Linked DNA regions of Mytilus edulis. The protein of the gene in region 1 interacts with the protein of each later gene in a pairwise test. Links are inferred from orthologs where the notes say so. Each region holds a gene or a part of one and is shown on either strand. Other genes may lie near its edges. The genes, in order: protein phosphatase 3 catalytic subunit alpha-like and calcipressin-2-like.

Region 1 (12,021 bases):
AATAACGGCAGTGAAACAGATGAAAGTGATATGTATAGTAACATTCTAAGGATCAATGCAGAATGCGTAATGCTACAGTGACAGTCGTAAATACGGCTGGTTAAATATAAAGACTAATATCGTGACACAGTAATTATCTTGTTAATATGTATTTTGATTCTGAAATAATTATGCCAGGCTGTTGTGTTGTACAAGAGATTCAATTTGGCAAATGTATTGTTACATACTTACACTGAACACGTATATATACAACTATGCTTGATGGTATATTGAAATCATAATTTTTAGTTTTAGCTAACTGAAAAAATCCAAAGTGATCAATCGAAGGCAAGATCTTAAAAAAGTAACCCTTTTAAAGGAGTTGTTTGGGTATGCGTCAATGAAACAGTACCAATCGACTAAAAAACATCTAGAAGATATATAGCAGGCAACATACAGTAGACGAAGGACATCTATAGAGAGCAACATATATAGAGTACACAAAAGACATCTAGCGGGCAACATACAGTAAATATAGGACATTTATAGAGGGCAACATAAAGTACACAAAATACATCTATAGAGGTCATCATTTAGTAAACGTAGGACATCTATAGAGGGCAACATAAAGAACAAAAAATACATCTCTAGCGGTCAACATACAGTCCACATAGGACATTTATAGAGGGCAACAAGGAGTAAGCAAAAGACATCTAGCGGGCAACATAGAGTGAACATAGGACATCTATAGAGGCCAACATAGAGTTAACAAAAGAAATCTAGTAGGCCATATATATTACTAAATACCATCACACAAGCTAATGCAACTTATCACCAGATTTTGATTTTTTATTAGCAACAAGACGTGTATCAATTTGGAGCATATTATATGCTTCTATTGTAGCGCACTTGCACGAGTCCACATTGTTCCTTATGGGTCAATGTAGAAAATATGTAGATATCATAGCTGTTTTGTTGACTTGTTCCGTTCAGATGATTCGTTTGCAGAGTTATGGTAATTGGACCTAGGAATACACGTATGTGCTTGATCATTTTGTTCCAGAACAACGAAATTTTAACCGCGGTAGGGGACGGTGAATTGCCATGCAATATTATCACATCAAGGTATATAGGGATGATTCTCATAAACAAGTATCTATTAGTATATGTTTGTCTTTTTTACGTAGCTTTAATACTTACCAGGGTATCTCTCGATCCTTACTAGTATAGGCAAATAATGCGTCCATCTCACGTTGTTTGGTGGGGTTCGTTTTGATAAATCTTTTGCTGTTGACAATTTGGTGTATTTTCTTCTACATTCTTTAACAGTGTATGTTTTACCTAGTTTTAATTTTGTCTTTTTTAGTTGATTTATTTGTGAATTAGACTATTTATTTATTTTGAGATATATATTATTTCAAATATATAGACTTCGAAGATACAAAAAAGTACAGATTTTAACTGAAGAAATTGTGTATAGAAATGGGGAATATGGCAAAGAGAACGCAACCCAACCAAAGAGCAGAAAACAGCCGAAGGCCACCAATTGATCTTCTACACAGCGAGAAGATCTCGCACCCGGAGCCGTGCTTCAGCTGGCCCCTAAACAAAAATGTGTACTAGTTCAGTGATAATGGACATCATACTAAACTCCGAAATATATAAATGACCTAAAGTTGAAAATCATACAAGACTTACAATGGCCAGTTATTGTTTGTTTTTATTATTACAGTGATTGGTCTTTTATCTAAACTGAAACCATTTTAATGTTACATGCATGAGGTATTCAGTAAAACATGTTGACATCGTTTAAAGAACAATTGCGTCTTGGTAAACCGATTTGAAGAGTAAAAGCAAATGCATACATGAATAATCATTTTACTAAAACTTCATCAAATATTAAAGATTATATTTTGCTAGCAGTAATGAAATTTCATTTGTTATCCTTGATGAAAAATCGATCAAATGTTACATTAACGGTAACTTCGTAAAAGGTTATCATTGATAAATTCATATAGCGTTTATAGAAACATAACATAAAATATCAAATGACATGGGGTTTAAGTATGTACAAGCTTTAAAGTTCTCATATATCGCTCTTTATTACAACACCTGCGAATTCAGAATGAATAGAAATATATACATGCGACACCATCTATTACTACACAAGAACAATAATGTATATCAACAAAAACTTGAACTTGCAGCCGCGATCTTCTATCTTCCGCAAATAGAGGGTATTGATATTAACACAAAAATTAAGATGAAAAAAATCGTCTATTACAGCAGAATGACCTGAGTGTGTAGGAACAGGTAATATCGTTGGTTTGTTTGCTTGCTAGCTGAACCTTGAATTCTTTATTAGGTTAGGTATACTACCCTCCCTTAAACGAAGACTATTCCAACAGATAACCAATATATTTGTCTGTAACACTAGACTCATACGAAAGGTGGGTAGTATACCTAACCTAATAATAATGTCACGGTTCAGCTAGCCAGCAAGCTAGTCAAAGATATGACCTTTACATACACGCTCAAGTCAGTTTGATGTAAATCTTTCCAGGACTGCATGCACTGCACGTGTATACGTATCATAACAGAAGTACTATATTGGATAAACAAATCCATCAGTTTTGAATTTTATCTTTGTGATACATGCATATGGACTTACACGTCATAATTATTAAATGCTACTAGATATAAACAAAATATGATTTTTGTATGTTCAATTATAAATAAAACAAAAACAAAGAGTGGCCATGGCCGTGTACTTGAACATCCCAACAACAAAAAGACACTATGAACAGATCTGAGAGTAGTCGAATTTAATAACAGCTAGTTCAAAGCCATACAATGGGCGATGGTTTCGGGCTACCGATCCATTTCGGCATGCATATTTTTTATATACAATCATGCATTAAAATTCAAAAATAGTGTATATATACTATACGGCAACCTCTAAATGAAATGTAATGTGAAGTTAACATCCATTTAATCGCTTATGAATTTTTACAAGGCTTTTTAAATTAGTTTAAAGAGAGAAAAAAATACAGACTATTTAAACTTTTTAGCTGCATTTTTGCGTAGTTCGGTGGATTAATTTAATGAAGTGGGCAAACAAAATGACACGTTGTAGACATGTCGTAGACCGGTAAAAATATAAATAAAAAGGTATCAGTCATAAATATTTTTTTTCAATCGAGTGTTTAATGTCAGGCATGTTTGCACATTTTTCCAATTCCAGGCGAAATATGTTTCTGATATATTCTGAATTTTCAATATCATAAATAATCTATAATAGATGTCTATGTACTATAGTATATTGCTGGATAATTTATTTAGCCAGGTTTCTCTATATCTTTGTAATTTATATCTATCAAATTGCATCATTATGTATATTAAGACTGTCTTCAAATAGTTGAAAAGAAGAATAAAAATAGTATGATATAAGGTTAGGTCCCACCTCTTCCATAAAAACAGACAATTCCATGAAGTGAAAGAACGACGAAAGGACCAACGATGATAACAAAACATAGCATTGACATTACATATATCAAACAATTGTAATTTAAGGCATTATTTTATAATAAATGAATTGAAAATTTGATAATAGCTAGGATCATAAAATTGAGAATGGAAATGGGGAATGTATGGCAATACATTAAAAAAAAAAGCACAGTGTCTTGCCATAAAAATTGAGAACTATTTATTACAAATTAAACAACCACAAAATACTGTGTTGAAAATAAGAAAGGTGTACAGTGATGTTCAAGGACAATGGACAACCTCCGCATACTGTAGAGACACAAGAATCGGTCACGTGGGTATAAAATTGTGTACACTTGGACATCCATAGTCTCAAAATAATACACAGATAAAGGAGGTGACTGTTTTGCAGTTTTTTACATAGTCATGTCTGATCGGATTGCGATCATTTCTTTGAATCCATTATCCAGTTTTCAGACAATGAACAACAACTTTCTTTCTTTTTTCAGTTGTCCTTTTCGACCTACTGTGTCCATATATAGAACCTACCAAGCAGTTTAACATGTTATCTATGATTCTTCCTAAATTTGGGTTGAATATTGTACACTGGACGTATAAAAGTAACTCCTTATTACGTTCTAGCAGTATAAATGGAGTTGGAAAATTTATTCAGTAGTCATTACATCTTTCGAATTAGCAATACTTTGATTAGACGGAGCAAGAGAGACTAAGAGAGAACGAAGTTATTTCGCAGTCTCTGCAAACAGTTTCATTATGGAAGTATTTTATAGGGAGGAAGATAAAGCCTTAATCATTTTCTAGGTATTCCAAGACTCATACTTCTTGTAATCAGAAAGGGTACAAACAAAATTATGTGTTCCGAAACTGTCAAATTCGTCATATTTTATTAGTGTTTATGGCATCTGTACACTACATCTAATTTCTTAAAGCTTTTAGAGTAAAACTTTGGTTGGCTTGCTTACTTTGTTTGCATAAACGTTGGCCTGCGCTTTATACTTAAGATTGACATCTTCAAACAATTAGATAGTATAGTTAAATTTAATTGGACGTTACATTACTATTGTACAATATTCAAACAAGGCAAGAAAGCTAACCAAAGTCTTGCTCTACATGCAATGTGAAATTAGCTATAAATCCATTGGAAGTTGGGTGTGTAATGATTGATAACTTAGTTTTAGATGCAGGACTATTTTTCCTATTTGTTATTGGCTTAATTTTAACTGCGAGAACTTTTAAATCTGAACTAATTGTCTTTTTGTTGTTAGCATGTATGAGAACCAGTCTACGTCCACTCTGTGTTTTTTAATTGATGTATTTCTATTTGTAGATAAATATAAAAAGATGTGGTATCAGTTCCTATGAGACAACTCTCCATCCAAGTCACAATTTGTAAAAGAAAAACCATTAAAGGTCAAAGCAAGGTCTTCAACACGAAGCCTTGGCTCACACCGAATAGTAATTAAGCTATTATGAAGGGCCCCCGAAAAAGACTAGTGCATTTGATGAGTTTAGCCCTTTTCTACTGATGCCTTCAAACTAGTTTAACTCCGAAACGTTTTGTTTATATGTGCATGTCCCGAGTCAGAGGCTTGCAATTCAGTGGTTGTCGTTTGTTGCTGTGATACATTTTTTTCATTCATTATTTTGTACATGAATTACTAGCCGTTAGTTTTCTCGTTTGAATTGGTTTACATTTGTCATTTCGAAGTCTTGTATAGCTGACTATGCGGTACGGGCTTTGTTCATTGTTGAAGGCTGTACGGTATTTTTTTCAGGTAAAGGCAATATGTACAAATACAAATCAGTTTTGGAAACTTAGCTATAAATACTGACACCTTAGAAAAAAGTAAAATAACAATAATACTGAACTCCAAGGAAAAATCAAAACGGAAAGTCCCCGATCCAATGGCAAAATCAAATGATAACACACATCAAACGAAAATATAGCAATGGTTGTGATTATAAGTACCTCTAATGCCTTAACCAAGGTTAGGATGACCCATGAAAGCAAACAAGCTTATTTCCAATTGGGTCCTTATAGTCTTGACAATAAAATAAATAGTTTATCATTCAATTTTACAGCAATAAATAGTATTTATGAATTCGCATCTTAAAACATTTATATAACAAGAATGTGTCCAAAGTACACGGATGTCCCATCCGCACTATCATTTTCTAAGTTCAATGGACCGTGAAAATGTTGCAAAATCTCTAATTTGGCATTAAAATTAGAAAGATCATATCATAGGGAACATGTGTACTAAATTTCAAGTAGATTGGACTACAACTTCATCAAAAACTACCTCGACCAAAAACTTTAACCTGAAGCAGGACAGACGGACGGAATAACGAACAGACGAGCGGACAAACGAACGGACGCACAGACCATAAAACATAATGCCCATAAATGGGGCATAAAAAGAGATCTAATAAAATATCTAAAATGCATCTGACATTGATCTGAGTTTACTCATTAGGTGTTTTTTTAACTTCAAACTTGTTAACATGAATACCTTTTACGTCGTCTGTCTGAAATCATTCCACCTTTTTATACCATCAGCATAAAAAGAAGAATTAAGATTCTACACCTTTGACATTTGGAACATAACTTGAAATTGTAATCAGTTGTTTAATATTCCTATTTGAGTAAGTTCTTGAAAGTCAATTTTTACAGTATTCAGAACATTTGTAGTGAAAAAAAACCCATTCAAATGATATACACTAAAGAAATACTTTTCGTTAAGCACCACACATAATCCATGGGGCGGGAGTGTCTCTTCCTCTTTGGCTCGGAAGGCTCGTTTCCTTAAACCGCGTGCCGCTTTATATAATCGGTGTCTCTTTTTTGAGACTGCTATTGTGTGATAGTAGTCTCAGCTCTTTTTGATAAGTCAATTTAATATGTCAATGGGTTGCCGTGAATTTCACCAAAGTAAAACTATGATAGATCCAGTCAGTAATTTTCATCTCAGTTTTAAAGATGTATTTTTTTTAATCAAATCAAGGATTTGTATAGTGAGACACTATACAAATCCTTGATCAAATTAAGATGTCAAAGTAAGTATAGCTAGTACTGAGGGCTAGTATCGCATACTTAGTTTAGTTTAAATAGCATTTATCAATGAAAAATTACAAGAATAAAGTATTATTTAATATACAATCATGTTACATGAAATTCAACTTGGTCAACTATGGGATTCGGAAACAAGGTTGGAAAAGTTTATATAAATCCGTCTCTAGCATCGCATACTTATTCAGTGTCTGTCGTTTAAATACACATTTTATTAATATGAATCGGTTAAAAACATATTCTATCTAAATAAATAGATTTGTTAATCCAGCTCGCCATACTTTTGCAACATTGACACCGGGCGTTGGCAAGGTTGCGCAAATAAATGCGCAGCATAGTATTTTGTATGCAAATAAGATGTCGTTAACGCCATCTTGATAAGAATTGTTTACTATTATTGAATCGGGGCATATCGACAAAAATAAGTGCCATCTAAGGCACATTTTAAAGTTATCACCTCTATAAAGCCCCAGGATGGCTTCCACAGATCCTAAGTTGTCTACAAAGGAAAGAATAGTAAAGGGTAAGTCAATGGCTATCTCCGTTCAATACACAACAATATTTATGTCCGCCATATTGCCTGTCGGCCATGACTGCAAGTGATACTTTTCCGTTTATTGATGGTATTTTTGGCAGTCCTGACTCTTTAACAATTCATTATACTAAATTTTCTATGTGCTTACATATTTTGGTTATCAAGCGTTTCTGCATATACACTGCACGTCAATGTATCTGAATACTGACGTCTGCAGAGATTCTGCTACCGTTGCTGCATAAATTTAAAGGGAGACATTTTCATAATACCCTTCCTTTCTGGTCATATTTGAGCGACTTACGTTAAGGACTTTACTAAAGTTTTCTTTACTATACATTTGAAGTTCAGATATTTTTCTAAACAGTATATAAGGTCATTCATTGTTGCTATTTATAGTATTTCATTTTTGGTCAGCTGAGGATTGTTTACACTACATGAAAAAGTCCTCCTTATTGTTCTCCTTGCATTCCTACATGTACACACACACACATATTGTAGATGACAAGTAGCAACTGTAGTTATTGTGTTGTATGTTGTATATATACAGTATTTTTTATGAATAAGGGGATGTGCAGTTATGATTGTCAAATGCACCTTTATAGCTATTCACCTTATCGCTTATCCCAGGCTGACCCAGCCGCTTGAACTTTTGACGCATCCAACAATTACTTTTCCATTGTGGCGTCAGATATTTTGTTTTATGACATCAAAATTTTACGGAACCTGTGTGATATCCCGTAATGGCAGACAAATCGGATAAGGTGTGTTAGGAAATAAACCTTATCGGTAATCCCGGCTGACCCAGCCACTTGAACTTTTGACGCATACAACAATCACATTTCCATTGTGATGTCAGATATTTTGTTTTATGACGTCAAAATTTTACGGGAACTTGTGTGATATCCAGTAATGGCGGACAAATAGCGTTAAGATGTATCTGTCCCTGTTGACAAGATAAAATGTCCCCCTTGAACTATTGACATCATACATGTACATCACAGTGCATTGTGTCAACATGTATTATATAAATATCACATAGCTGAGAGGGTGATAGAGCAGATTGGTTTGACAATGTTTTATCGGGGTACCAATCTGCTCTATCACCCTCTCAGCTATTTATTATTTAATTTTATTATACTGAATGCCTATCATTTTAGTCTTTTTAATCGATTAATTTTATTATAACCCTTTCAACGCTATACACAGCATATGCAGCGATGACATACCCCCTCCGCCACTGCTATTCGATGACAATGGATTTTTCATCAGGACTTAAACCATTCGGTTTTCATTCGGGTCCTCTCAGATTTTTCCTTGTATGAATCAAGGATATACAAGGTCTCATTTGCGCTTGAAATCCCGGCAATTTTTATAGTAAAATCATGCAGTTGAAGGAAAATAAAAACAAATATTTTGACAAATGCAAATGGCGGAAATCAGAAACGAAGCTGTAAATATGGAAACATTTAAGCATTTCTATGGCGTAACTGACAACATGGATTAGTTAAAAGGTTTCTTGTTATCTCAATCTTTATTACATTTAATTCTTGTGGGAAATATGATTTGATCGATAATTACGAGACGTAGAAAAAGGGGGGAAAACAGAGGTTGACTGAAAATTTTGAGGAAGGAGCCATGATTACGTAATATGTTGTGTATGGTGCAATACGCTACGGAATCGAGTAATTGGTGTCTTCTTTATTATATGGCAGATAAAACAACAAAATAGATGAAGACTAAAAGTAGTTTTTATTCAAAATTCTTAAATTACACCTTTTACCTGTTATTTACCTGAAAATGCAGGTAATCTGATAAAAATTTTACTCAAATAACTGCCTAACATTACAGTTCATACTCTCCTGAGCATTTTTCATGCAATAACTTTCTCTGTATCTCTTATAATAAAAAAATACAGCAGTCTGAAAAGAAATATATTGTTCTTATGAATGAACACAAAAAAAATGCAGCAGCAGCAGGTCAAATAATAAAATCTGAGCCAAAACCTAGAACTTAAGCATTGTATTTAATTATTTGATGTACATTCAATCCATTGTCCTTTAAACTATCTATTTTGATTGGTCTAGACGAGGGGGTTACATTAAAAAAAATGGTCACCCTCTCAGCTATGTGATAGAGTAAATTAACACCCTTGTATCAGCCAATCAAAATATGGCATTTTTACGTGAAGTATAATAATTTGTATTGATACGTCAAATTTTTAAGGGAACTTTTGTGATGCCCAGTAATACACCTTATCGTATTAAACACAAGTTTGATTGGTTTAAGTTTTTGTTACAACTGTCATCTAGCCAATCAGAACTCGTGTAACATAATATGTATCATCTGGGTCCCTGTTTAAACAGAAGAAACAGAAGTCAAGGATAACAGTATATATTTTGCGGGGGAAATGTTTTTGCTACTATCTTTTTTGATGGCTTGATTCAAAGTTGCCACAGAAGGACTACTTGCACAAAGGGAGAGTTCTATTGAACCTGGTCTCGCTAAATACGACTCTAACTCGCATTTGGTGAGTCGGTGAGCAGAGGTTTTACACACTGAGTCATCCCAAATGTAATGAAACTTATACACAATGCTTAATATCACAAAACATGGATCAAATTTGAAATTTGGTCGCGTCACTTTTAATGTTATAGAGTAATGCTCCTTTACAATACATCTTATCCCTATATGTCTGCCATTTATACTTGACTTTAAAAAATTATGCCACAAATTAAACCAAATGTTACTTTGTTGGCAAAGCCTGTGATCCTAGTTCATTATTTGAGTGCCAGTGCAAACTTGGAAATGTTTTGTCTGATACATGAAACCTGAAGTTATATTTGTCTCAGATGTCTCCCTAATAATCTCTCAAAAATCATGGTGATAAAGAATTCTACCCTTAGGTATAACCTGTGGGAAACACCATTTTAGGAGGGACTAGCCAGAGTTTCTTTTACCTTACACAACATCAATAAGAGTGAAACAGCATGTTTATTTATCACCTGATAGAACCAATGAATACTGACTGGTATAATTTATAAGGGAAGGGATAAGTCCTCAACTATTTTTGCTTTCATTCCTCATATATATGATAGAAAGTTGTGTACATGTTCTATACATTGTCAACTTGGATTTGATTTATTTTGATATTATGATTTTTAGGTGTTCCCTTTCCACCAAGTCACAGATTGTCAGATAGTGAAGTGTTCGACAGTAAAGATAAACCAAGACCAGATGTTCTCAAACAGCATTTTATTTTGGAAGGAAGATTACAGGAAGAGGTTGCACTTAAATTAATCAACAGGGGAGCTTCCTTGTTGAGGCAGGAAAAAACAATGATAGACATAGAAGCACCAGTCACAGGTAACTACAATATTTATGTTTATTAATAGTTAAGATGCTTGTTGTATCCGTGCATGGTTTAAAAAAAATAAATCCCTAGCAGCAATCTATTATTGACAACACCATTGGCACAAAAGGAGTAGGTCCAGTAAGACCCCTTTTCGGCCCCAAAATATAGCACAAAATTGTTAAAATATAAACTTTTGGTAGTTTATTGGACCGTAGAATGCTTCTGCTACATAAATATGGGCTCTTTTTGACAAGACAAAGCACATATATCGGGTACTAGCACCATTAAGTCATGCTAAATTACTGAAGTCTTCACAATTCTAGCATTTTAGTTAAATTTTAGACAGTTTTCGTGTAAAACGAAAGTGGCCGCATTCGTGTTCATCCTTACAGCTTTTACATTAATGCTAGCAAGACAAATCTTTGTTCGGCTTGCTTGCTTTGTTTGTATCAATGTTTGCTCAAGCATGGTAATTAAGATAGGCGGGGCTTCAGCTTGTATACATCATTCTTAAATTTTATTGGACGTTATGTTGGAGGTTAAGGACACTAAATTTTAAAACATCACATGACACGTATTCTCTCATGTTTCCTTATTTGTAAATATACAATACAGACAGGATTCTACTTCGTCGAAATTATTTTCCTATTTCGCCAGTTCATTTTCACAATCGTAGAAACGGAAGACAATTTTTTTTTCAGAGATCCAAGACTGTCGTCAAGCACTTTTAGTCAAATAGCTATTCGAACACACCTACTCTGAATTTGTGATCCAATTAGATAGATATTTCACTTGACCCCTATATTTCATCTTTTAGTACTGTGATTTTTTTTATGTTATAAAGTCAACCTGTAGCTTTGCTATATAAAATGATAGAGTCTGAAGCGAGATGATGTAACAAATACTCTTGTTTTGTACATTTTCAAGACAAAATATTTTTCTCAAACACACCCTAACATAAAAAAAGGTGCACTCGATTTTCTCTTCGATACAATTGTTTCCCATTTTTTGGAATATTTTCTCGAGTAGCATAATCGAAGGACAGACATGGAAATAACTGACTGAACTAATAGATTGATATGTTATAAAAACAATATTAGGTCATTTAATGTTGAAGGCCAGTTTCTCAGCCTCATACAAGTAAAAAGTTTATATTTTTCTTTCATTGACAAATTATTGTATTTTTACAGGTGAGAATATTTGTCATGTGATGTTTTAAAATTAAGTGTCCTTAACCTCAGACATAACGTCCAATGATTTAAAGTATGATGTATACAAGCTGAAGCCCCGCCTATCTTAATTACCATGCTTGAGCAAACACTGATACAAACAAAGCAAGCAAGCCAAACAAAGATTTGTCTTGCTAGCATTAATGTAAAAGCTGTAATATTGAAATGTAAGTTGTATTTTATGATAATACATAACATATATAAAGGTTGAGGATGAACACGGATGCGGCCACTTTCATTTTTGACAAAAAACATCTGAAAAGTGACATTTTTTTGCATATTTGGTAGATTTTTCATATTTGAGCTTGAATCGGATCGTTTTTACTGGCTAAATCAGTTGAAATCTTTC
Region 2 (12,192 bases), on another chromosome or scaffold:
AGACCTGGAAGTGCCTTCTTATAAATGGAGAAACTGTCTTTCACATTAAAATTTAAAAGAATATTATCGCTCAGACATATTTTAAATTTTGTAATAAGATGATTGATTGTTGGTTGTTTAACTTCCAGTGGCAAATATTCCATAAATGTCAGGACGAACTTAGTTTTAAGATCGAACTCTCAAAAGATAATTGAAAAACAGTAATGATGACAGAAGAACTTTGATACGTGTGAAATAACCATCCAATCTTTTAAATATAACTTATTTATATATCAAAAAGTAACAGATTAGTTTACAAGACGTGCATTGACGTACTTTCATATCTTTAAAATGGAACTTCTTTGTCTAAAAGACAACCCACGAGTTGTCGAAATCCAGTTGCATGCATACTATATACATACATATGCATATTATGCATCGACGATCGTTGTATTACGTAACATACTGCTATACCAATTGACCCCTAATATCAACTAAGGTTAGAACTTCCTCCAGGCCGTTCATTTTATTTTTGTTCCAATAAAACGGTTCTTGAATCAATTATAATTTCTGAAGTATTTACGATGAAAGCATTATTCTCAAATCGTCTTACACAATGATAAAATTGTATTTATACCACAATTGAAAAGTAATTTAATAAAACAAATGACAGATGAACTGATTAATTATAAAGATGAATGTATGTCCATATGCTCATATATATATACACATTCGGACTAAAATTCGCAACTTGTTATTATCTCATCGTAGCATATTGTTAATTTTGCTAATATATGCCTTCAACCCCAAGAGGTATAAATGTGCATTTCATTCTGAAAGATTAATGGATCAGCAGGTGATCAAGATCGTTTTAAAAATTCCTATTTGCCAATGAAGTTTAAATGATCTGCGTCCTCAGAAATACACATGTATTTTTCCATCATAAAAGTAAACCTTTAACCCCGAGAAATATATAATCTGTTTCTCTCTAAATTTACAGAAACATTATGTGATAAATTTTTGAAAATTCCTTATATCTCAATCGATTAATGATACTAGTAGTTCTGTAAACTTCTACATATATCACAATCTGTACCTCAATACAACCGTCCCTCACACTTCACGGATTATACAACGATCAATTAATGATTGAACGTCGCTCACGCATAACGGATTATACAACCGACCTTTTAATAACCGTCGCTCACGCATCACTGGTTCTATCAATGACTCAATACACACCCGTTTTATCGGACAAACGGATAATTCCCTGAGACACGGAAAATCTCCGGAGAACCGCAAAATATTCTGTAAAACGGAAAATTTACGATGAACCTCTATTAATTATCCGTTCCGCGCAGATTGTCCAAAAAACACCGATTTTTTTACAAAAATCACGGTGATTTTCCAAATAGGTCTGCCAGTGATAGAACTGCCAAAAGTTTAAATCGACAGGTAACTTGCAGGTGAATCTATGGAAAACTATCATAGGGTTCGCTATAATTATCTTCTCTTTGATTTAATTTGCATGTATATACAATGTACATGTAGTATATATAATACTGGAAAACAATAAATGTATTTATCTTTATTGATATTTGTCAACAAAATAATTCAATAGATCACTTTCGAGTTTATCCGTCACCGGAAAAAAACTTGTCAATTATACACGCCTTTATGACTCATTTAGGGTACATTCAACAGTTTTTCCTATGACGTCATATTTGAGGGAACATGTATAAGTGACCCTTAGTGGTGGACTGATTAATAAGGATACTTGTATAAAACTAGATATCACTGGAATCAGAATGTTCTCTAGTTTATAAAGGAATAAAAAAAAGTGTACTTTTAATAGTATAAAAAAGTTTTATCCAGAGAAACTGGGAAAAACATTGCCTAATTTAAGCTTGAAAAAACCTGAAATCAGGTTATGTGCACACCCCTGAAGACATGATACCTGCACATTTTTCATAATCAAAATTGAATGAATTTCATAGATTTTTACCTGGTCTTTCAAAAAATTTGTGTTTCAGGATATGTTCACCTGCTCAAAAAAGAGCTACAGAGGCTGCTAAGTTTTCAATTTTCACTGCCAAAAAAACAGACTGTTTACAGTGTTGTCTCCCCTCAAAACATTTATATTTAATCTAATTTTTTAAATTATTTTAATCATTCAACCTGCTTTAATTGAAGTAAATTAACATATTTTTACAACGAAATACAACCAGATGCTCTGCAGGACGCAGCTTTATACGACCGCAGAGGTTGAACCCTGAACAGTTGGGGCAAGTATGGACACAACATTCAAGCTGGATTCAGCTCTAAATTTGGATTGTGATTAAATAGTTGACACAGCATAGGTTTCTGACACAGAATGAATGTGGTCTAATGAACTTAAAATATTTTTTTTGCCTTTGAGCAATTCACTATGCTGTTGAATATTAATCCTCTCAAAAAAATGTTTGAAGAAATTTTCTTTTTATTTATAAAATCTGAAATGAGAAAAATTTACCCCCCCCCCCCTCCCCCTCCTTTTTTTTCACATCCCCCATTCCCTTTTTTCAAAACTGATCTCAATTCAAATTTCTAATGGAGTTTGCAACAATAATTACAACTCATTTAAATACATCATAAAATATTAAAATGTAAAATAAAGTGCTTGTTATCACTGAATGGTAAACATGGTAAAGAGTGTTATAATTTATCAGTTGGTAGTAAAAGTGAATATACATTGTATATTGTATAAAACAATGATTTAAGTTGATTCAACTACTATTCTAGACAAAGAAAGATAACTCCAATTGAAAATTTCTTGCTATTGCACAATATTGTGCAATTAGATACTTCTTGCTATTGTGCAATACTGTGCAATTAGATACTTCTTGCTATTGTGCAATACTGTGCAATTGAAAATATTTGCTATTGCACAATACTGTGCAATTGAAGATTTCTTGCTATTGTGCAATACTGTGCAATTGAAAATTTCTTGCTATTGAACAATACTGTGCAATTGAAAATTTCTTGCTACTGCTGAATACTGTGCAATTGAAAATTTCTTGCTATTGCACAATACTTAATATAATAATTTTGGATCCTGATTTGAACCAACTTAATCAAAAATCTAAGTACATGTTTAGTTTCAGCATATCAAAAAAGCCCAAAATTCAAATTCTGTTAAAATCAAACTTAGTTTAATTTTGGACCCTTTGGACTTTAATGTAGAACAATTTGAAAACAGGACCAAAAATTAAGAATCTACATACACAGTTAGATTTGGCATATCAAAGAACCCCAATTGTTCAATTTTTGATGAAATCAGACAAAGTTCAATTTTGGACCCTTTGGGCCCCTTATTCCTAAACTGTTGGGACTAAAACTCCCAAAATCAAACCCAACCTTCCTTATATGGTCATAAACCTTGTGTTTAAATTTCATAGATTTCTATTTACTTACAGTATACTAAAGTTATGGTGCGAAAACCAAGAATAATGCTTACATGTAGCTGGGCCCCTTTTTGGCCCCTTAACTGTTGGGACCAAAACTAACAAAACAATCCCAACCTTCCTTTTGTGGTCATAAACCTTGTGTTTAAAGGAGTAGGTCCGGTAAGGACCGATTTTGGCCTCAAATTTCAGGTTCATCTGACGAAAGATTTTGACCCCTTTTTAAACACTTAAGTGTCTATTTTATTTGAATTAATTAGTTTATGTGAAAGATTTTAACAGATATAGTCATTAAAAACGATCCGATTCAAGCTCAAATATGAAAAATCTACCTAATATGCCAAAAAATGTCACTTTTCAGATGGTTTTTGGTAAAAATGAAAGTGGCCGCATCCGTGTTCATCCTCAACCTTTATATGTGTTATGTATTATCATAAAATACAACTTACATTTCAATATTAAGGATGAACACAAATGCGGCCACTTTCGTTTTACACGAAAACCGTCTAAAATTTAACTAAAATGCTAGAATTATGAGGATTTTAGTAATTTAGCATGACTTAATGGTGCTAGTACCGGATATATGTGCATTGAATTGTCAAAAACAGCCCATATTTATGTAGCAGAAGCATTCTACTGTCCAATAAATAACTAAAGGTTTACATTTTAACAATTTTGTAAAACTGCTATATTTTGGGGCCAAAAAGGGGTCTTACTGAACCTACTCCTTTCATTGATTTCTATTTACTTATACTAAAGTTATTGTGTGAAAACAAAGAATAATGCTTATTTGTGCCCTTTTTTGGCCTCCTAATTCCTAAATTGTTGGAACGAAATCTCCCAAAATCAATCCCAACCTTCCTTTTGTGCTCATAAACCTTGTGTCAAAATTTCATAGATTTCTATTTACTTAAACTTAAGTTATAGAGCGAAAACCAAGAAAATGCTTATTTGGGCCCTTTTTGGCCCCTAATTCCGAAAATGTTGGGACCAAAACTCCCAAAATCAATCCCAACCTTCCTTTTGTGGTCATAAACCTTGTGTTAAAATTTAATAGATTTCTACTCACTTTTACTAAAGTTAGAGTGCGAAAACTAAAACTATTCGGACGACGACGACGACGCAGACTAATCATTTGCTAATGACAATTCCCTATATATAGCTAGTGACAGCAATGCTGATTGTCAATTTTGAGGATTCAATTTGCCGAATAATTCGTACAATATAGCTCACCATTGGAATGGAAGTGACGACGCCCCTAAACGCACAAATGATGTTCACTAAAACCAGAGTTTTTGACGGAAATGCATCGACGTTCACTCAAACCCGAGTTTTTTATAATACTGTAGCAGTAGAAAATTCAATAAAAAAAAAAAAAATCGGGAAAATTTTCCCAGAAATTTTCATTGTACTAATGAACTCAATTTTTTTGATGTCATGTTTTGAATTCCTGGGCATCTGGGCAGAAATCTACGATGTACTTCCTCTTTCCGGTCTCGTTTGTATGAAACTTTTAGTAAAATATATATTTATCAGTCTTAGTAGTATAACAAAGGAAGGTCAACGCAATACCAATTTCATTTTTAATAATTCCTTGATATATAAAAATGTTACCTGATGATAGCGTTTCTTTGTTTACATTGCATATGACGTCATAACTTAAATAACGTCACAACTTAAATCCCTAACAACAGAACCAAAATTGGAAACGTTACGGTATTTCCGTTTCTTTTTTTAACAAATATTCAAGTTACAAAAAAAATAATTCATACAGACTTCGTCCCTATTCACAGGTAATGCATGAATGGATCTGATGCCAAACTTTATATGTATAACTATGACTATAATTAAAACTAACAGCTTCCAGCAAAAATTGAGTATCTCACCTTTGCATCTTCATCATCAAATACACATTCAGCAACGTTAGTGACAATTAATGCATTTGGCAAGTCTGTAAATGTATTGTCTTCCATAAACTCCCTTTCCATGCTGGCGCCGGTGCCAACATCCTCGGCATGACTGATATTATCTTCTATTTCCATTATATCCCATCGATTGTCAAGTCGCTCTGGTTCAATTGACTCTTTCAATGCTTTTGGCATGCTAAAATAATGCACTATGTGGGTCAACACGACTGAAGAATCAAAATACGAAAAAAGTACATGACGTCAATCTGTCAAACTAGATTCATTAAAAATACGAGATCTTTACCTTTTTGTCGTTTATAAAAACATGAATTTTAGGTCAAATTTGAAGCATCGTTATGACTCAGACTTTTAGGTCTAGCACGTTACCAAATGTCAATTTGAAACCAAATACAATACAACGTACCAAAACAGTTGATGTCGTAACTTATAATAACATTACCTTTTGGGGTTTTAAAAACACTAAGTAATCAAAAAATATTTCTGACTGTCTCTTTAAAATGGTAACTTTTTTATTTTTATTTTAAATAACTTATAATAAAAAAGTGATTCAAATTTCGCGCCCATTTCCGGCAAACAGTGCACATGGTTTTGGTTGACGAATTTTTCTTATCCGGAAAATAAACAAGCTTCGGTTGAGCAGTGATGGATCAAATCCCGGCCGCCATGGATAGACAATTAGATGTGATTCAGTGTCACACAGGTTTGTAGAAATACTAGATAAATCAGACACAACTGACTGTCCATCAGTGAAAACGTGTTTCATGGTTTGACTTTGTTACCTTGCACATATCACAGTGCTTTGTTTCCCTTTTCTTTCTATTTGAATGCCACTTTTAACTTTTTCCATCGGGTTATAAAGATAACAATTACATGTATGTATTATAAATACACGTGGTTATTACAAAAAATAAAAAAGAGTAAAATAGTTGTGTTAATCAATTTAATTATAAAGTTATAAAATCAGTAAACATAATTTATTAACCCTTTCAACGCTACACAAAAAAAATGAAAAATGGCTGCTGCTGCTGCATTTTTTTTTAGTTCATTCATTAGAACAGTATTTTCCTTTTCAGACTGCTGTATCTTTTTTATTATATGAGATACAGAGAAAGTTATTGCATGAAAAATGATCAGGAGAGCATGAACTGTAATGTTAGGCAATTATTTTACTGAAATTTTTGTCAGATTACCTGCGTTTTCAGGTAATTAACAGGTAAAAGGTGTAATTTATTACATTTGTGTTGAATTTTGAATAAAAACTACTTTTAGTCTTCATTTATTTTGTTGTTTTATCTGCCATATTGTAAAGAAGACACCAGTTGCCCGATTCCGTAGCGTTTTGTACCATACATAACGTTTTATGTAATCGTGGCACAAATAAATAGCTCCGTCCTAAAAAATTTCAGTCAACCTCCGTTTTCCCCCCTTTTTCTACGTCTCGTAATGATCGATCAAATCATATTTCCCACACGAATTTAATGTAATAAACACATTGAGATAACAAGAAACCTTTTAACTAATCCTCGTTGTTAGTTTCGCCAAGGAAATGCTGAAATTTTTCCATATTTACAGCTTCGTTTCCGATTTCCGCCATTTGCATTTGTCAAAATATTTGTTTTTATTTTCCTTCTATTTTCCTTCTACTGCATGATTTTACTATAAAAATTGTCGGGATTTCAAGCGCAAAAGAGACCTTGCATATCCTAGATTCAAACGAGGAAAAATTAGAGAGAACCCGAATGAAAACCGAATGGTTTAAGAGTCCTAATGAAAAATCCTTTTTCATCGCCGCGAATAGCAGTGGCGAACGGCGTACGTCATCGCGGCATATGCCGTGTATAGCGTTGAAAGGGTTAATATTATACACGATTTCCCCAAAAGTGATCCCATCCAGACATTTTTGCCAGATAGATTAAAAAAACATGTGCATGTTTATTTTTTACCAGAAGTCATTACTATAGGAATCCACTGGACATTAACAATCGACAGTCCAATACTAGAAGGAAGTTTGCTAGTCCAAATAATTATGACATCTTGAATTGGACAGGTTGGGAACAAACCCCCTGTATGGTGATTATACCTGTATAGAGGGATAATCCTTCTTTAGAGGGATAAAATTCTTCCTCTATAGAGGGGTATTTTTGTTTGCACTGTATTTAAAGCAAATTAGGGCAGAATGGCATTTTCTAGTTATATTGGCTATAATCTCTAGCATTATTGTAATAACTGGCCAAACAGGTGTCTTTTACTTTGCTGCCACCACCTGTGTTTACAGGTACACAGGGAACCTCAATAGACTAGAATAAGCTAGTCTAAAACAGAGAATGGTTTAAACACTGGTGTTCTTAATATTACCAGGCCAATAGGGTTAAAATACTTCTGACACATTAACTTCACTTTATATTTAACAAGAAACTCAAATTGCGAGAACAATATGGGTAAAGAATATTCAAATACGTAATAGTCAGTGTATCTAAACGCACTTTCTATCGTGTAGTTTATAGAACAGCATTACACTGTCAAATAGAGGCTGCACCTCTATAACCTGGAATCGCATATAAACTAACACTCAAGAAGTGGAAACTTCCAGGGCAGTACCATCAGACTATTCCACAAATGAATATTATCTATCTGACAATCGAATAGTCTCTTGTCTCTGTCTAACAAGAAGATCTATTCTCTCACGAGACAGTGTAATGACAACAATCAGAGACCAGTTGGACAACTATGCAGTCAGGAGTCTACTTTGTCAAAATTATCTCCCCATTACGCCAGTTCATTTTCACAATAGTAGAAATGGAAGCCATTGTAGGGATGACACGCTACCAATATTGCTCTTGGAAACCGATAAATTTATCAACATTGCACCATTACGATCCTTATATGTCAGTTGTATTTTAAAAGACAAATGTATCAACTAGCTAATGAGCATCAGTTAATAATCTTGTCTGCATTGATTCAACTTAAAACTATTGTCTGATCGGTTGTCAGGTGGAATTTTCGAAAATTCATAAACATTTAAAAAAATTCTAATTAAATATTTTGTGGAAGGGCAGACTATATTTTTTTAGTGTATGAAGACTATAAACCCTAGTAATCACACACAAAAAATTAGAATTTTTCGAAGATATGCATTTTCATCATCCAACTTGAAAGACTGTCGTCAAGTACTTTCAGTAAAAAAATAGCTATTCGAACACACCTTCTCTGTTTTTGTCACTCATTAGATAGGTATTTCACTTGACCCATATATTTCATCTTTTAGTACTGTAATTTTTTTGTGTTATAAAGTCAACCTGTAGCTTTAATATATAAAAATGATAGAATCTGAAGCAAGACGATGTATGAAATATTCTTATTTTGTACGATATCAAGACAAAATACTCAACTCAAACACGCCCTAACATAAAAAGGTGCACTCGATTTTCTCTTTTCGATACAATTGTTACCCATTTTTTGAAATTTTTTCTTCAGTCACTTAATGGAAGGGCAGACACGAAAATTACTGAACTAATAGATTGATATGTTTTCCGTCCGTGGTAAGGCCAAAAAAAAAAATAGGTGTGTTTCCTGTTGCATGCCCCAAAAAATTAGGGTCGGTAGGTAGGTACTTTTTTTTTTTTTTTTTTTTACTGGCCTGCTTCGGTTGTTTTTTGTGTATTTTTATATAAATCAGTTTGTTATTCTTTCAGGTTATTTTCATCAGTTCATTGTATAAAGTATACAAGATATGAATAGTCCATGTTCAAAAGTTGCAGAAGACTTGGCCAGGACTTCCAGCTTATAAAATTTTCAAACTTTTCAGAACTGATATGCCATCTGTACGGGTCAGGCTATAGTCTTACACAGAAAGCCCATCAAAGTCTGTCTCAGCAAAGACCTGTTTTATAATCAGTTTCTTTCAGACAATTTAGTTCACAGAACTGATGCCAGCTTTTCTACAAATACCAAATTATTAATAACATGATAGAGGGATGGGTGAAAATCTTTGAAATTTTGATTATATACTAGCTGTTTAAAAGAAAATCAATTACAAATTGAGTTTTGGGGCTATGTAAATTCATTGTTCTTTAATCCAAAGTCATGATACTGATTGAATATATCAATAAAGGTGGTAGAATTAGAAAATGGGGCTATTATACTTTTTTTCTCGTTCCTGTGTGGACACTCATCGATTGTTATTGATAACACACTTTGACTGATGGCCATAGCAGAAGCCATGCCGTTGTTTGACTTCAATCTGTATCACACAAATGCTTACTGTATTAAAATTTTATTTGAAATCAAACGTTTAAAAGATGCCATTCAAAGGCTATACTAAACAAAAACCGTTTCCGGAAAAAACGAAAAAAATCCGGATTTTTTATTTTTTTTTTTCCGTGGAAAAAAAGTTAGGGTCGGCGCCAAAAAATTAGGGTCGGTCGGGTGACCGGAAACACACCTTTTTTTTTTTTGGCCTAATTTTTTCATAAAAATCGGAGGTTATGAATTTTCTTCATCCAACTTGAAAGATACCCATGTCGTCGACTTGATATCTAATTGTTCTGCTTAACTATGTACTAGATAAATTGAAAACTTATGCAAATGGTGTTTTTAAAATAAAACACCTCGTAATTGAGAAGAAAATTGCAACCTTGTTTGTTTCTATTAACTTTGTAAAATGTTGTCACTATAGTAAACAATACAGTAAACATTTATCGCCTTCTCTAACAAAGAGCTTCGATTCTTTTGTTCTATTTCAACCTGGTTTCCGACTGTATGGTGTATTATGTGTTATCAGCAAGGAAAAGTAAGATAATTGTGAGCATAAAGATGTTTTATCAGTTAATTCACGAATTGTTCAGTAAACAATATTACACAGTTTTTATCTAAATTATTTGCTACAGTGTTCAACCAACTATTCAATATGCTATAACATTAACATACATGTATATTATATCTATGCCATCTTCTAATAAATTATACTTTAAAAATAACAGTACCTTGTTATATTATCTAATAGACTTCAGCCTCCTGGAGTAAGCACAGGAAGACAAACTTCAATCACTGAGATTGAGAGTAGTTAAACAGTAATTATTCTAGCTTCTTACAATTCTTAGCCTAACAAATATACAGAATTTACAAATATTCTCTCTGAATGCTGGAAAATCTTTGCAAACAGGATACTTTACAAAATGGGAGGGGAATGGGGAAGGCATGTAACTTTAATCCGTTTACCTCAAAGAAACAGGTTAGCAAATGAAAGCTAGCCTGAATAATAAATAGACCAGCTATTTATATGTACATGTACAATTATATTAAATCCATTTTTATACGACCGCAAAAATTTATAATTTTTCGTCGTATATTGCTATCACATTGGCGTCGTCGTCGTCCGAATACTTTTAGTTTTCGCACTCTAACTCTAGTATCAGTAAATAGAAATCAATGAAATTTAAACACAAGGTTTATGAACACAAAATGAAGGTTGGGATTGATTTTGGGAGTTTTGGTTCCAACAGTTTAGGAGTTGGGGGCCAAAAAAGGGCCCAAATAAGCATTATTCTTGGTTTTCACACCATAACTTTAGTAAAAGTAAATAGAAATCTATGAAATTTGAACACAATATTCATGACCATAAAAGAAAGCTTGGGTTTGATTTTGGGAGGTTTGGTCCGAACAGTTTAGGAATAAGGGGCCCAAAGGGTCCAAAATTGAACTTTGTTTGATTTCATCAAAAATTGAACAATTGGGGTTCTTTGATATGCCAAATCTAACTGTGGATGTAGATTCTTAATTTTTGGTCCTGCTTTCAAATTGGTCTACATTAAAGTCCAAAGGGTCCAAAATTAAACTAAGTTTGATTTTAACAAAAATTGAATTTTGGGCTTTTTTGATATGCTGAAACTAAACATGTACTTAGATTTTGATTAAGTTGGTTCAAATCAGGATCCAAAACTATTATATTAAGTATTGTGCAATAGCAAGAAATTTTCAATTGCACAGTATTCAGCAGTAGCAAGAAATCTTCAATTGCACAGTATTGTTCAATAGCAAGAAATTTTCAATTGGAGTTATCTTTCTTTGTCCAGAATAGTAGTTGAATCAACTTAAATCATTGTTTTATACAATATACAATGTATATTCACTTTTACTACCAACTGATAAATTATAACACTCTTTACCATGTTTACCATTCAGTGATAACCACAAAATGCTAAAATGAAGATTTTACTATGCCCTTTTCAAAAATTTAATAAAAAGTATGGGTCTATGTGCTATATTTCAAGCTATGAGTCGTTGAAAATTGTCTAAGTTTGGTTACTTTGATCATGAAAAGACACATTAGTGTGCATAAAAAATATTCTATGAGATAGAATTTTGAAATAAATTGTGAGAAGAAAGGTTTCATAATATGTTTTAAGAAAATATAAAGAAAACATGGTGTCACCGATCTTGTTTTCTTGCTACAAGTAAAAATAAAAAAATTCCCCGTTAGCCCAGTATAAATTTTGTACTAAAAGAGTTATCTCCCCTTAAATGGCTCATTTGAAAAAAATGATTTTTAAACCCAAAAAATTGATATTTGTTAAAATATTTTGTATAAAACAATTAATTAACAAGTTTTCTTCAAATAGAAAAAAAACATTCTAACAATTGAATTGCAAATCTGTCTCCAAATTTGCAGATTTAGGCAAATATCTAGACCGATTTTGTACCAGTGGCGGATCCAGGGGGGGGTTCCGGGGTGCGCGCCCCCCCCTTTATTTTTGCCGATCAATGCATTTGTATCGGGACATATGTTTTGCACCCCCCCCCCCCCCCCCCCCTTTGCCCTGGGTGCCCTGGGTTAGCACCCCCCC

Evidence for each region.
Region 2: the proteins of protein phosphatase 3 catalytic subunit alpha-like (region 1) and calcipressin-2-like interact in binary tests that used the Caenorhabditis elegans proteins (3 or more experiments, as listed by UniProt). The link is inferred for Mytilus edulis from reciprocal best matches to the Caenorhabditis elegans genes tax-6 and rcan-1.

What each region holds. Positions count from the first base shown.
Region 1 is NC_092352.1:34,311,139-34,323,159, reverse strand, and holds the start of protein phosphatase 3 catalytic subunit alpha-like, read left to right. Parts: upstream 1-6,883; 5' UTR 6,884-7,030; coding exon 7,031-7,079; intron 7,080-10,253; coding exon 10,254-10,454; intron 10,455-12,021. UniProt on the Caenorhabditis elegans protein: Calcium-dependent, calmodulin-stimulated protein phosphatase. Dephosphorylates arrd-17. Dephosphorylates daf-16 at 'Ser-319' which regulates daf-16 nuclear translocation. Dephosphorylates calcium permeable cation channel pkd-2 at 'Ser-534'.
Region 2 is NC_092353.1:62,867,468-62,879,659, forward strand, and holds the start of calcipressin-2-like, read right to left. Parts: upstream 5,691-12,192; 5' UTR 5,525-5,690; coding exon 5,309-5,524; intron 1-5,308. Other genes in the region: methylosome protein WDR77-like, read left to right, coding at 5,993-6,050. UniProt on the Caenorhabditis elegans protein: Inhibits tax-6/calcineurin A phosphatase activity and thereby negatively regulates calcineurin-mediated functions.